3 linked regions of the Macaca mulatta genome follow. The protein of the gene in region 2 purifies or fractionates together with the protein of the main gene of each other region. This does not show direct contact. Links are inferred from orthologs where the notes say so. Each region holds a gene or a part of one and is shown on either strand. Other genes may lie near its edges.

Region 1 (3,027 bases), on a different chromosome or scaffold from region 2:
ACTACAGCATCGGGCGGGACATCCAGCGCCAGGACCTCAATGCCATTGCCCGAACCCTGCAGGAATGGTGAGAACCGTATCCTGGCACTGTCCCCTTCCTTGTCACCCTGAGAAGGAGAAAGGCGCTTCAGGGTGAGAGAGGGCAAGAGCTGGGCTGGTCTGTAGAGGTGGAACCCAGGAGGATGAAGGGAAATGAATTTATCCCTCCAAAGGCTTCTGGGGAATGCAGGAGTGGGGAGACCTTGGGAGGCGGCAGAAGTCAGCGTCCTTGATACAGCAATTGGGGGAGGGAAAGGGAGTGGTACAACTGAGGGGATCCTAACCAGTAAGGTTGGTCGCCTATCTTAGGCTGGATTCTGTTGATTGGTCTATAACTACCATTGTCCACAGGCCATGGACCTTTTCCTCTTTTTTATTTTCTTTGTGTCCCCATCTAACTTCAGGGTTTCTGTATTCATTAAGTCACCTCTTTTGCTCTTTAGCATCTCCTGCCCTATTTTGTTTTTAGTTCCTACTCCCATCTTGCACATTACTCCAGGTACTTCCTTATCGCTCTCTGACCACACTGAGTGTCCATCCCACTGCTAGGAGTGTTATCACAGGTAGTTTCTAGGTGCCCTGGTGAGGGTTCCCAACTCAGACTCAAAATGCCTGAAGCTGTGTTCTGGCTCTGTTGCTCAGGTTGGAGTGCAGTGGCACCAGCTTGACTCACTGCAGCCTCCAACCTCCAGGGCTCAAGCCACCCTCCACCTCAGTCCCTCGAGTAGCATGGGACTACAGGCTCGTGCCACCACATCCGGCTAATTTTTGTATTTTTTGTGGAGACGGGTTTTTACCGTATCACTCAGGCCGGTCTTGAACTCCTGAGCTTAAGCAGTCTGCCTATCTTGGCCTCCCAAAATGCTGGGATTATGGCGGGGAGCCACTGCGCCCTGCCTCTAGGGTTCTTTTTGAGTCCATTTTCTGCGAGTCTGTGATCGCAGTCCTTGTCTGCTGACACTTCTCTGCCCTGACTCCCGCAGGTGTGTGGGCTGTGAGGTTGTGCTGTCAGGCATTGAGGAGCAGGTGAGCCGTGCCAACCAGCACAAGGAGCAGCAACTGGGCCTAAAGCAGCAGATTGAGAGTGAGGTGAGCAGTCAGGGGAGCGGGCAGACCCAAGCTCCCCCAGCCTGGGCCACCTGTCCTTTGCAGAGAGGATTTGGACAGTGGCTGTAGCAGACAACCAGATGAGCAGGGGCTGGAAGGTTCTGGAACCTTCCTTGCTATCCCCATTCCTTTCATCCTGGTAGGTTGCCAACCTTAAAAAAACCATTAAAGTTACAACGGCAGCAGCAGCCGCGGCCACATCTCAGGACCCTGAGCAACACCTGACTGAGCTGAGGGAACCAGCTCCTGGCACCAACCAGCGTCAGCCCAGCAAGAAAGCCTCAAAGGGCAAGGGGTGAGCCAGGGTAGCAGGAACTGCTCACTTCCAGGGTGCCCTGCTTTTACCCCAGGGACCTCTCTGTCCTCATTTCCTTCAGTTACTTGCATGGGAGTAGGGAGTGGGGGGAACCTCCAGAGGTTAGGGGATTCCCTGCATTCTCTTTCTTTCTCTTTCTCTCTCTTCTCCTTGCCAGGCTCCGAGGGAGTGCCAAGATTTGGTCCAAGTCGAATTGAAAGGACTGTCGTTTCCTCCCTGGGGATGTGGGGTCCCAGCTGCCTGCCTGCCTCTTAGGAGTCCTCAGAGAGCCTTCCTGTGCCCCTGGCCAGCTGATAATCCTAGGTTCATGACCCTTCACTTCCCCTAACCCCAAACATAGATCACACCTTCTCTAGGGAGGAGGCAAATGCAGGTTATGTTTTTGTTGGTACTTTTTGTTTTTTGTGACTTTGTGTGTTCCATTACTCCCCGCTGCCATCCTGTCTCCCCTGTTTCCTTAAGAGCTCAGCATCTGTCCCTGTTCATTAAATGTCACTGAGTAGGTGGGTAGCCCTGATAGGGGTTGCTGTGTTTTAAGCATAACCCACAGGCGTCTTTTCTACCACCTCATCCCTGCATGCCTGATCCCCAATTCCTATACCTTACCCTCCACCTATTGAGCAGCCTCTGAAGAGCCGTAGGGCCCCCACCTTTACTCACACCCTGAGAATTCTGGGAGCCAGTCTGCCATTCCAGGAGTCACTGGACATGTTCATCCTAGAATCCTGTCACACTACAGTCGTTTCTTTTCCTCTCTCTGGCCCTTGGGTCCTGGGATTGCTGCTGCTTCAACCCCAGAGCCTAAGAATGGCAGCCGTTTCGTAACATGTTGAGAGATGGGTCTTTCTTGGCCCTGGCCATTTTGGGAAGCTTGATGGCAATCCTGGAAGGGTTTAATCTCCTTTTGTGAGTTTGGTGGGGAAGGGAAGGGTATATAGATTGTATTAAAAAAAAGGTATATATGCATATATCTATATATAACATGACACAGAAATAAATCTATGAGAAATCTATCTACAAACTACCCTGAACCAGGTATCTTCTGTGTTTGATATTTGTGGATGGGAAGAAGACTCATTCCCAGTTCACTCTAAAAGAAACAGTACTGGAAAATGAAGAGACCCAGATACTATTTGCTGAGTCTCTGGCTGAGGCCTAGATCTCAAGCTGTATGCCTTTGGACAGGTTGCTCAGCATCCATTCAGAAGTAATGGATATGGCTGGGCGCAGTGGCTCACACCTGTAATCCCAATATGTTGGGAGGCCAAGGTGGGCATGTCACTTGACGTCAGGAGTGTGAGACCAGCCTGGCCAACATGGTGAAACCCCGTCTCCTAAAAATACAAAAAAATTAGCTGGGTGTGGTGGTGCATGCCCATAATCCCCTAAGGAGGCTGAGGCAGGAGAATCGCTTGAACCTGGGAGGTGAAGGTTGCAGTTGCAGTGAGCCAAGATCATGCATGCCAGCCTGAATGACAGAATGAGACTCTATCTCAAAAAAAAAAAAAAAAGAAAAGAAAGGGATGGGTGGCCGGGCGCAGTGGCTCAAGCCTGTAATCCCAGCA
Region 2 (4,592 bases):
TAGCAATAGTGTCAGCACACTCCATTACTCTCCAGTTATCTTTTAAGAGAAAATAAAAGGCTTCAAATCACCTGTACGAGATCTAAGAGTGCTCTGGCGGAGTCATACCTCTGCAAGGTTAGAGATGTCAAAGGGAGTCCTGGTCTAGCGAGAAAAGGGAGAGTGACACAAAGTACAGGTGCTTGGGTCGGGCGCGGTGGCGCACTCCTGTGATCCTAGCACTTTGGGAGGTCGAAGTGGGAGGATCGCTTGAGCCGAGGAGTTCGAGACCAGCCTGGGAAACAGAGTGAGACCTTGTCTCTATTTAAAACAAAAAAAAATCGGCTCTAGCCTGTAATTCCAGCACTTTGGGAGGCCGAGGCAGGCGGATCACCTGAGGTCAGGAGTTCGAGACCGGCCTGGCCAACATGGTAAAAACCCGTTTCTACTAAAAATACAAAAGAGCCGGGCGTGGTGGCGGACACCTGTAATCCCAGCTACTAGGGAGGCTGAGGCAGGAGAATCGCTTGGACCCGGGAGGTGGAGGTTGCAGTGAGCCGAAATCGCGCCAGTGCACTCCAGCCTGGGCAACAAGAGCGAAACTCCGTCTCAAAAAAACACCCCAAAAAGAATGCTTCACAAAAATTAAAGAAATACAGCGACTGCAGATGGGTCGGTTTCACTATAGCACAAGTAGCGGAAAGAGGACACAGACTGGGGAGAAATCACCCTACACAAGATGACAACTGAGGAATGAGAAGTGGGGACTGACACACGCCACGGTGAAACCGCGCACCACGACCAAAGGCGGTCCTAGGACTGCGACTAAGCGGGCGCAGAGGCCACCCTCCAGGCTTGGCGGGGGGATGAGGGCAGCACTGGGGGCCTGCTCAGTCTGGCCTTAGGGAGGACCTTCGGGGCTCTCCTCTCTCCCCATCGATCCCTGAGCAGTTCCCGAACAGAAATCGGAGACCAGACGGTGCCTGGGCCCCAGCCCTCCCACGCGGACTGCGCCTTGGGCCTGGCTCGGAGGTGGGTCAGAGTCTGCGAAAGACCAGCGAGGGCTCTCAGGTTTCGGGGCAGGCGGCGGGCGCCCACCCCGGCTAGCAATGGGAGTCGCGCGGCGACCGGGCGAGCCCGGTAGGCAGGACAGGACTGCGGCGCAGGTCCGACTCAGGCGGAGGAAGCAGCCGCCGCCCCAGCTGATGGAGTGCGGCCGGGGGCTTCCCAGAGGAGGCGGCGACCTCGAGCCCTTTCGAACGTTTCTACCAGGCTAGCTCACGTAGCCTCGGCCCCGCCCGGCCCCGCCCCGCCCCACCCACTCCGGCCACCGCCCCCTCCCCGGCCGACACTTCGCGGGTGGGGCGACTTGCGATAGCCCCTTTAAGAGGCGTGGTCACGTGCTCCGCCCCCACCTCCCCCACGCGCGCCAGTAAGGGGTGGGGTGCGGGAGGAGGTGCCGGGGAGGCTGGGGGAACGAGGTGTGCGCTGCTGCGCAGGCGCGGTGGTCGGACGACAGACCGTGTGTTTCCAAAATGGCGGCAGCGATGGATGTGGATACCCCGAGCGGCACCAACAGCGGCGCGGGCAAGAAGCGCTTTGAAGTGAAAAAGGTTGGGTCTCGCCAGCGCCTTCCTCAGGGAAGCTAGAGAGGCGCGGATCTGGCTGGCAGGCCCGAGGATGGTCGAGGCGCGGAGTAAAGGGTTTCATTTTAGGGCGTTCCTGGGACCGGGTACCACGAAAGGAAGTCGGGGGGCGGGCCTTAGAGTTGATCGGCGTGACGGCGGCCCACTGTCAGGGGAAGTGTTGGTTTCGATGTGAGGCTGAGGGGCCAATCACAGAGCTGCTTGTTGAGATACGCGGGGTTGCGACTTGGCGGCGGGAGCCAAGCGCCTGAGCTGTCACTGGAGTGGTTGAGAGGTGGGGGAAGGTAGGGTGGGGTGAGGTAGGGTGGGGTGGGGTGGGGTGGGGTGGGTGGAATGGGGAGTCAGAGCGACTGCGGCGGTGGAGGATGGGGCAGTGCGGCGAAAGCCTGGAACCTGAGGTCCTACCGCATTGGAGGCCTCTGAGGAGCCCCGCTAGTGATCTTGCTCCGCCCCTTTTTGAAGCTTGCTTGGGGTCCTCTCACTTGAAGGGATCAGACTTGTTCCTCGCTGAACCGAGGCCTCCATTAACCCCATCTCTGGGCCTCACACCGCCGAGTTAGAGTCTGGAGTGTAATGCTTGGGTGTTCTGAGACGTCTGTTGGCTTTTCCCACAACCACCCCACTCTTGGATTCTCTGTCACGTTCAGAATCTCCCCCTTCCGAAATAATAATAAAAAGCACGGTGGAACTTGTTAAGAAAATCCGAGCCCAAATCCTGTGGCATTTCGGAAGGGTTGAGTACTAGTTGCGAATGACTTGGTAAGAGGGGAAAGCAAAAATGGAACGTGTCTTTTGCATGAAATGCATTTTAGTGGTTTGCCACAGTTTGGGAGAAAAGTGTCGATTCCCACCTAACATGAAAACTATTCGAAATGGAGATTCTGAAATAGGGAAGATATTCCTGGAACATCTGGCTAAACACTGACAATATCCCCCCCCTCCTAGTGCTTTTTGGTGTCTCATTGTGGCCACTGCTGCTCAGTTACAGCCAGCCATATTGAAGAATAATAGAAGTAGGGGCTTTTCCTCCAAGTTGAAGCTGTGATGTGAAAAGTGGTGAAGAAGTTACTAGGCACTGAGACTGGGGTTTGAAAGCGATGAAGGTTTGGGAGTACTTGTAATTGAGGAAACCAGAGTTGAATGAATGAAATGCCACTTTTAATTAAACTCTTACTGGAATTATTATCTTTTTTTTTTTTTTTTTTTTTTTTTTGAGACGGAGTCTAGCTCTGTTTCCCAGGCTGGAGTGCAGTGGCCGGATCTCAGCTCACTGCAAGCCCCACCTCCCGGGTTCACGCCATTCTCCTGCCTCAGCCTCCCGAGTAGCTGGGAGTACAGGCGCCCGCCACCTCGCCCGGCTAATTTTTTTTGTATTTTAGTAGAGACGGGGTTTCACCGTGTTAGCCAGGATGGTCTCGATCTCCTGAACTCGTGATCCGCCCGTCTCGGCCTCCCAAAGTGCTGGGATTACAGGCTTGAGCCACCGCGCCCGGCCTGGAATTATTATCTTAATAGAAGAGTCTAAACATATAAAAGTTCAGAACATCAGTTTATTTTATGGTAAGAATCGAACAAAATTCTAGTGAATTGTAGAATTTGTTATGAAGTAATCTAAGATTTAAGTGATGACCTTGTTCTGTGTACTGACATGGGCAGTTAATTATCCAGCTTATCCCACGATTACCTGTTTTATGATCCAGTCATCATCTTAGTTCATTCTGTTCCCTAGCTTTCACTTCATTGCTCATGCTTCCAAAGCTGCCTGGAAGAGCAGATACTTATTCAGATTTTGAGCGCTTCTGCAACTGCCACCAAAACCTGCACAGAAATTCAAGTTTGTGCTTTTTTTTTTTTTTTTTTTTTTAGATGGAGTCTCACTCCATCGCCCAGGCTGGAGTGCAGTGGCACGATCTCGGCTCACTGCAACCTCTGTCCCCCAGATTCAAGCGATTCTCCTGCCTTAGCTTCCCAAATAGCTGGCATTATAGACACCCGCCACCAAGCCTGGCTAATTTTTGTATTTTTAGTAAAGACGGGGTTTCGCCATATTGGCCAGGCTGGTCTCGAACTCCTGACTTCAGGTGATCCACCCGCCTCAGCCTTCCAAAATGCTAGGATTATGGGCGTGAGCCACTGCGTCCGGCCAGACTAAATTGTTTTAAACTACAGGAAACAAAAGATGACATTCATTTATGTCTTCATATACTCAGTCTTTTGGAGAATAGGAGAACGTATGTGTTGTCTACTGTTGTCTTTGGTATAATAAGATTAACATAATATCCAAAACCTTTTGTTTGGTGGTTCCTTGTGGCCAGAGATCATAACTACAACTGCAGCCTGAAGTCCTAAAAACTGTGTGTGTGTTATAAGGAGAATGCATTGTTCCCTCTTTTTGTCTTTGCAGTGGAATGCAGTAGCCCTCTGGGCCTGGGATATTGTGGTTGATAACTGTGCCATCTGCAGGAACCACATTATGGATCTTTGTAAGTAATTGGAGGAGGATGGGAGGAAGTTGAGAAGGTTGCAGAGCTTGTGGCTATCTTGATGTGACCGATTTTCTTCTTCACAAGCAGATATCAAGCCTACTCTGAGCACTCGGTCTTCTGTATCTAGTCTTTTGGTGTGTTTGAAATAGAGTAGTTTTTTTATGATGTCCTGGAGGCATACCCAGCTTTCAGAATAAATCTACTCAATCTAAAGATGGCAGGAACACATTTAGAATTAATTGTGGACAACAGGCACTGTTGATTCTTCCTGCATATCTCCCATCTTGTACCTAGACTCAAAGGTAGAAATACTGAAAGGAGGAAAATAAAGTTTGAGCTAAAATATTCTATCTGAGGCGAGGCGTGGTGGCTCATGCTTGTAATCCCAGCACTTAGGGAGGCCAAGGCGGGCAACATGGTGAAACCCCGACTCTATTAAAAATGCAAAAATACTCTATTAAAAATGCAGAAATTAGCCGGG
Region 3 (3,838 bases), on a different chromosome or scaffold from region 2:
ACCCTCTGAGAAGGGGCTGAGTGCCATCATCCTGCCTAGTCCCCTCAATCTCTCTGCCTAGAGGGGGTGCTAAATCGTACCTGACTCCCTCTGCCTTTCTCCCAGTCTACCATCCTCACCCTAACAAGACCCTTGGCATATCATGCAACAGACTCAGTGCCAAAGGCTCCTTCCTCACCAGCCGGGAAAGCCCCCGCCACCTCCCAGCTCAAATCTCTAGCAGTTGCCAAACACACATCATATAATCAAACTCTCAGGTTTTATTTCTGTAAAAGCTCCAGCTCTATCTTCCCCTGACCCCAAGTCCAGGGCTACCGGAAGGTAGAGAAGCTCTGGGTGGCAGTGCAGGAGGCATAGGGCACACCCCGGGAGCGAATCTGCAGGGTATGGAAGGTGAGGGGTGGGTTGGGGCCTGAGGAGCCTGGGTTCAGGGACTCGGTGTGAGGCTCCATGACAGTCACAGGGACTGCATAGGTCAGCACCTGCGGCCGGTCATCATGGCGTCTCAGCGTGCCCTTGCCCAGGAGGTGCAGGATGCAGGAGAGGACGTCAGTGCTGCTGCAGGCAGACCCCCTACCAAGGCTGCTGACCAAACCCCTGGGAGGACATGGGCCCTTCTGCCAAGCCTCCAGCACCTGGTGTCGGGGAGGAAGGGACAAGTGGTAGGTTAGAGGCAGCTGACCCATCCTTGCTTGAGCTTCCACTCCAACCACAGGCTGCTAGGACAGGATGCCCCAAGGACACCAGGTACATCCTGACTTCACGCCTCACACTCCTACAGGCTACATAGTGAACCACGTGCTTCACCACACGTGGACCCACCTTGTTCTGTAGACTGCTCCCCCAACCCCAGCAAAGATCCATCACCCACTGTGCCCACCCCTGCCTACCAGACAGACAAGCTGGTCAATGTGCAGCCCCTCATCCCCATGGGCCTTGAGGATTCGGACGATGAGGCAGTTCAGAAGATTCCGTCTCTTCTCCAAGTTCCGGCCCTCTTCACCCTCAGCTTGCAGGTATGTCTGAGGTGGGATGAGCCGCACAATGTCCCATCTCGACCTGGGTTCCTTGCTGCCATCTCGAATCTTGAGGACCCCTGAAATAAACACCGATCACTCACTCAGTGGAGAGCCCATGAGAAGCCCGGCCCTGCCTCAGAGCAGAGGCCCCTCTGGCCCTAAGTGCATACCTCCTGGTATATCCTTTTGCTCATGAAGGTCCAGGGGGCCTCTTGAAGAGGTGAGGGGCCCAATCGCCTCATTAAGCATGTCTTCGGAGAGCCCTGAGAGCGCCAGCAGACTCTCCACAGAGACCGCCTTCAGAGAACAGATGGGAGACATTCAGGGCCTCCCCAAGGAGTGGAGAGAAGAGGATAGAGGGAAGAAGCAGAGGGAGTCAAGGTTTCAGGAAGAGAGGCACGGGACAAAGTGGGAGACAGGAGAAAGGTACAGCAGGGCTGGACCACCTTCAGGTCGTTGAGATACAGCAGTAGCCACATCTGCACAGTGGACACATGCAGGGTCTGGTTCCCAAACTGCAGCTCAGCCCAGCCCAGCCACGTCCACTGCAGTCGCCTCTGTGAGCCTTGCTCGAGGGCAGGATGGCTCTGACCTGGTGAGGTACCAGGAAGGGGGAGGGAGACAAAGAGCAGGGGAAAGGAGGGAGTTGGTGTTGGAGGGAGGGTGCATGCTGGTCAAGCTCTGTTGATCTCTACAGGGCGTGTGACCCCAGCATTTATGGACACTGGAGCTCCTGGTCTGAGCTTCCAGATCTCGGCCTTCTCTGGGCCTGCCTCCATGGCGAGCCTCAGGTATCTGGGAGCTATCCTATGCCTAGCCTGGTGCCAGGCAGGTTCTCATCAGTGCCTTCGAGGATTGCCCCGTGTGTTTTTAGGGAGACAAAACCATGAAGGGAGGAAGAACTGGGGCTCTTACCAAGCTGGAATATTGTGACAGTAAACAATGTCTCCCCTATTAGGGGGCTCCCTGACCACAGGTCTGAGCCTCTTCCCCCTCCTGTGTTGCTGCCAGCTCAGGGATCAGCCCCAGTGGGTAGTTTAGGATGACAGGTGACTGACCAGGAAGGAGCCAGACACTCCTTCCTGGTGGCCTCAGGTGCCTCCTGCCTCCATCCTCCCTGTCACCCACAAAGAGATTCCCAGGTCTTATTTTAAAACAGAAAAGACAATGATCTGGGGATCAGGTATCTGACAGCACCTGCCACCCTCAGCCACCAAGCTCCTGCCCTTTCTTCTCAAAACCACTATTTTTCCCATGGCCTAGGGAATTCTTATCCCTAAAGACTCTCTCTCCCTGAATCTATAAAAACAAAAATTTAAAAATTAAATTAAAAGACCAACTCTTTTTTTTTATTTTTTTGAGATGGAGTCTCACTGTCACCCAGGCTAGAGTGTAGTGGCACGATCTTGGCTCACTGCAACCTCCGCTTGTGGGTTGAAGTGATTCTCCTGCCTCAGCCTCCCGAGTAGCTGGGACTACAGGCATGCACCACCACACTCAGCTAATTTTTGTATTTTTAGTAGAGACGAGGTTTCACCATGTTGGCTAGGCTGGTCTCGAACTCCTGACCTCAAGTGATCCACCCACCTCGGCCTCCCAAAGTGTTGGGATTACAGGCGTGAGCCCTGTGCCCAGCTACAGACCATCTCTTTTCACATCAAGCCTCCCAACATCAGGGTCTGCCCCCAACCCCAGGTCCTTTCCTAGCAGCCCACCCTCTCCCCAGTCCCCTCTGCCTGGCTACTCACTCTTGTTGTAGAAGTTGGAGTATCTGTTCAAAGTGCCCCTCAGGTAGGAGGGCAGGCAGGTTCTGGGGTTCAGTGTGTGGCAGATTGAGGCAACAGGCCAGCAGTGTCGGGACAGGACAAGCACAGACACTTCTGGCATTGCCCCTTCATAGTAGAGGTCCTCATTCTCCTCCTCTTCCTCCTCTCCCTCTGTCACATCCACCGCTGCTGCTGCCCCAGCTCCCTCTTCCTTCTCGCTCTTATACTCCTTGCCACTGTCCCTATGGCCCACCTGAAGGAGCACAGGGTTCCCAGATGCCATGGCCTCCTCCAGTCTGCTTCATGCCCATCTTCCCCCTACCTTCTCATTTGCTCATCCCTTCCAAGGCACTCACCTGTATTTTCTTCTCTGTATCCTCCAGCTTTAGGAGTTCCTGATCCAGCCGCTGGAGCTGGTAGACGTGGAACTGGCGCTGTAGCTCCTTAGAGGTGCTCAGGCTCTGCAACATCTGCTGGGGGAGGCGGTTGGGGAAGCAGGGACCAATCTGCTCCAGCACGGCCCCCTCCAGCCAGCTCGAGACCACGCCCAGGAGACGGTCCGCCATGTAGTGCCTACAGTGCATGCAGCCCGGGCCAAGCCTCAGTGTGGGCACCAGTGTGGCCCAGCCTCCCACTCCAAGGCTCCAGCCTGGCTCTATCCCAGACTTCCAGGCCCATGAGCTGGCTCTTCCACCATCATCCTGCCTCCCGCCAGCTCCCGCTCCTTAGGTCCACACTCACTGGTAATAATGCTCAAAGGTGGTGGCTATCTCCAGGCCGGAGAAAATCAGGACAGCTTGCAGGCACTGCTGCAGCTGTGCCAGCCTCTCCATTTCCTGGGCTCCACCAATCCGGCTGCCCTGGATCTGCTGGTCAATGTGCCGGGCGAACTGCTCACTCACCTGAGCAATGGCAGAGCACAGGAAAGCCATGAACAAGCAAGCAGAGCAGGTGAGTGGGGAGGAGGGACGAGGGTCTGGAAAGTAGATATGAATGCTGGCAGCTTCCTAAGGTGGTTGGTGCTTTCATACAACTATTATATACGATCATTAA

Evidence for each region. Proteins that work in one complex are often made in the same cells at the same time.
Region 1: the proteins of RBX1 (region 2) and COPS7A purify together in Homo sapiens (affinity purification with mass spectrometry; 3 studies listed by BioGRID and IntAct, with this or other methods). This does not show direct contact. The link is inferred for Macaca mulatta from reciprocal best matches to the Homo sapiens genes RBX1 and COPS7A.
Region 3: the proteins of RBX1 (region 2) and CUL7 purify together in Homo sapiens (affinity purification with mass spectrometry; 9 studies listed by BioGRID and IntAct, with this or other methods). This does not show direct contact. The link is inferred for Macaca mulatta from reciprocal best matches to the Homo sapiens genes RBX1 and CUL7.

What each region holds. Positions count from the first base shown.
Region 1 is NC_133416.1:7,685,664-7,688,690, forward strand, and holds the end of COPS7A (COP9 signalosome complex subunit 7a), read left to right. Parts: coding exon 1-67; intron 68-1,022; coding exon 1,023-1,128; intron 1,129-1,289; coding exon 1,290-1,441; intron 1,442-1,619; coding exon 1,620-1,659; 3' UTR 1,660-2,279; downstream 2,280-3,027.
Region 2 is NC_133415.1:10,578,326-10,582,917, reverse strand, and holds the start of RBX1 (E3 ubiquitin-protein ligase RBX1), read left to right. Parts: upstream 1-1,493; 5' UTR 1,494-1,514; coding exon 1,515-1,592; intron 1,593-4,029; coding exon 4,030-4,108; intron 4,109-4,592. UniProt on the Homo sapiens protein: E3 ubiquitin ligase component of multiple cullin-RING-based E3 ubiquitin-protein ligase (CRLs) complexes which mediate the ubiquitination and subsequent proteasomal degradation of target proteins, including proteins involved in cell cycle progression, signal transduction, transcription and transcription-coupled nucleotide excision repair.
Region 3 is NC_133409.1:139,089,098-139,092,935, reverse strand, and holds the end of CUL7 (cullin-7), read right to left. Parts: intron 3,688-3,838; coding exon 3,527-3,687; intron 3,359-3,526; coding exon 3,142-3,358; intron 3,039-3,141; coding exon 2,768-3,038; intron 1,612-2,767; coding exon 1,466-1,611; intron 1,317-1,465; coding exon 1,190-1,316; intron 1,097-1,189; coding exon 891-1,096; intron 636-890; coding exon 312-635; 3' UTR 243-311; downstream 1-242. UniProt on the Homo sapiens protein: Core component of the 3M and Cul7-RING(FBXW8) complexes, which mediate the ubiquitination and subsequent proteasomal degradation of target proteins. Core component of the 3M complex, a complex required to regulate microtubule dynamics and genome integrity.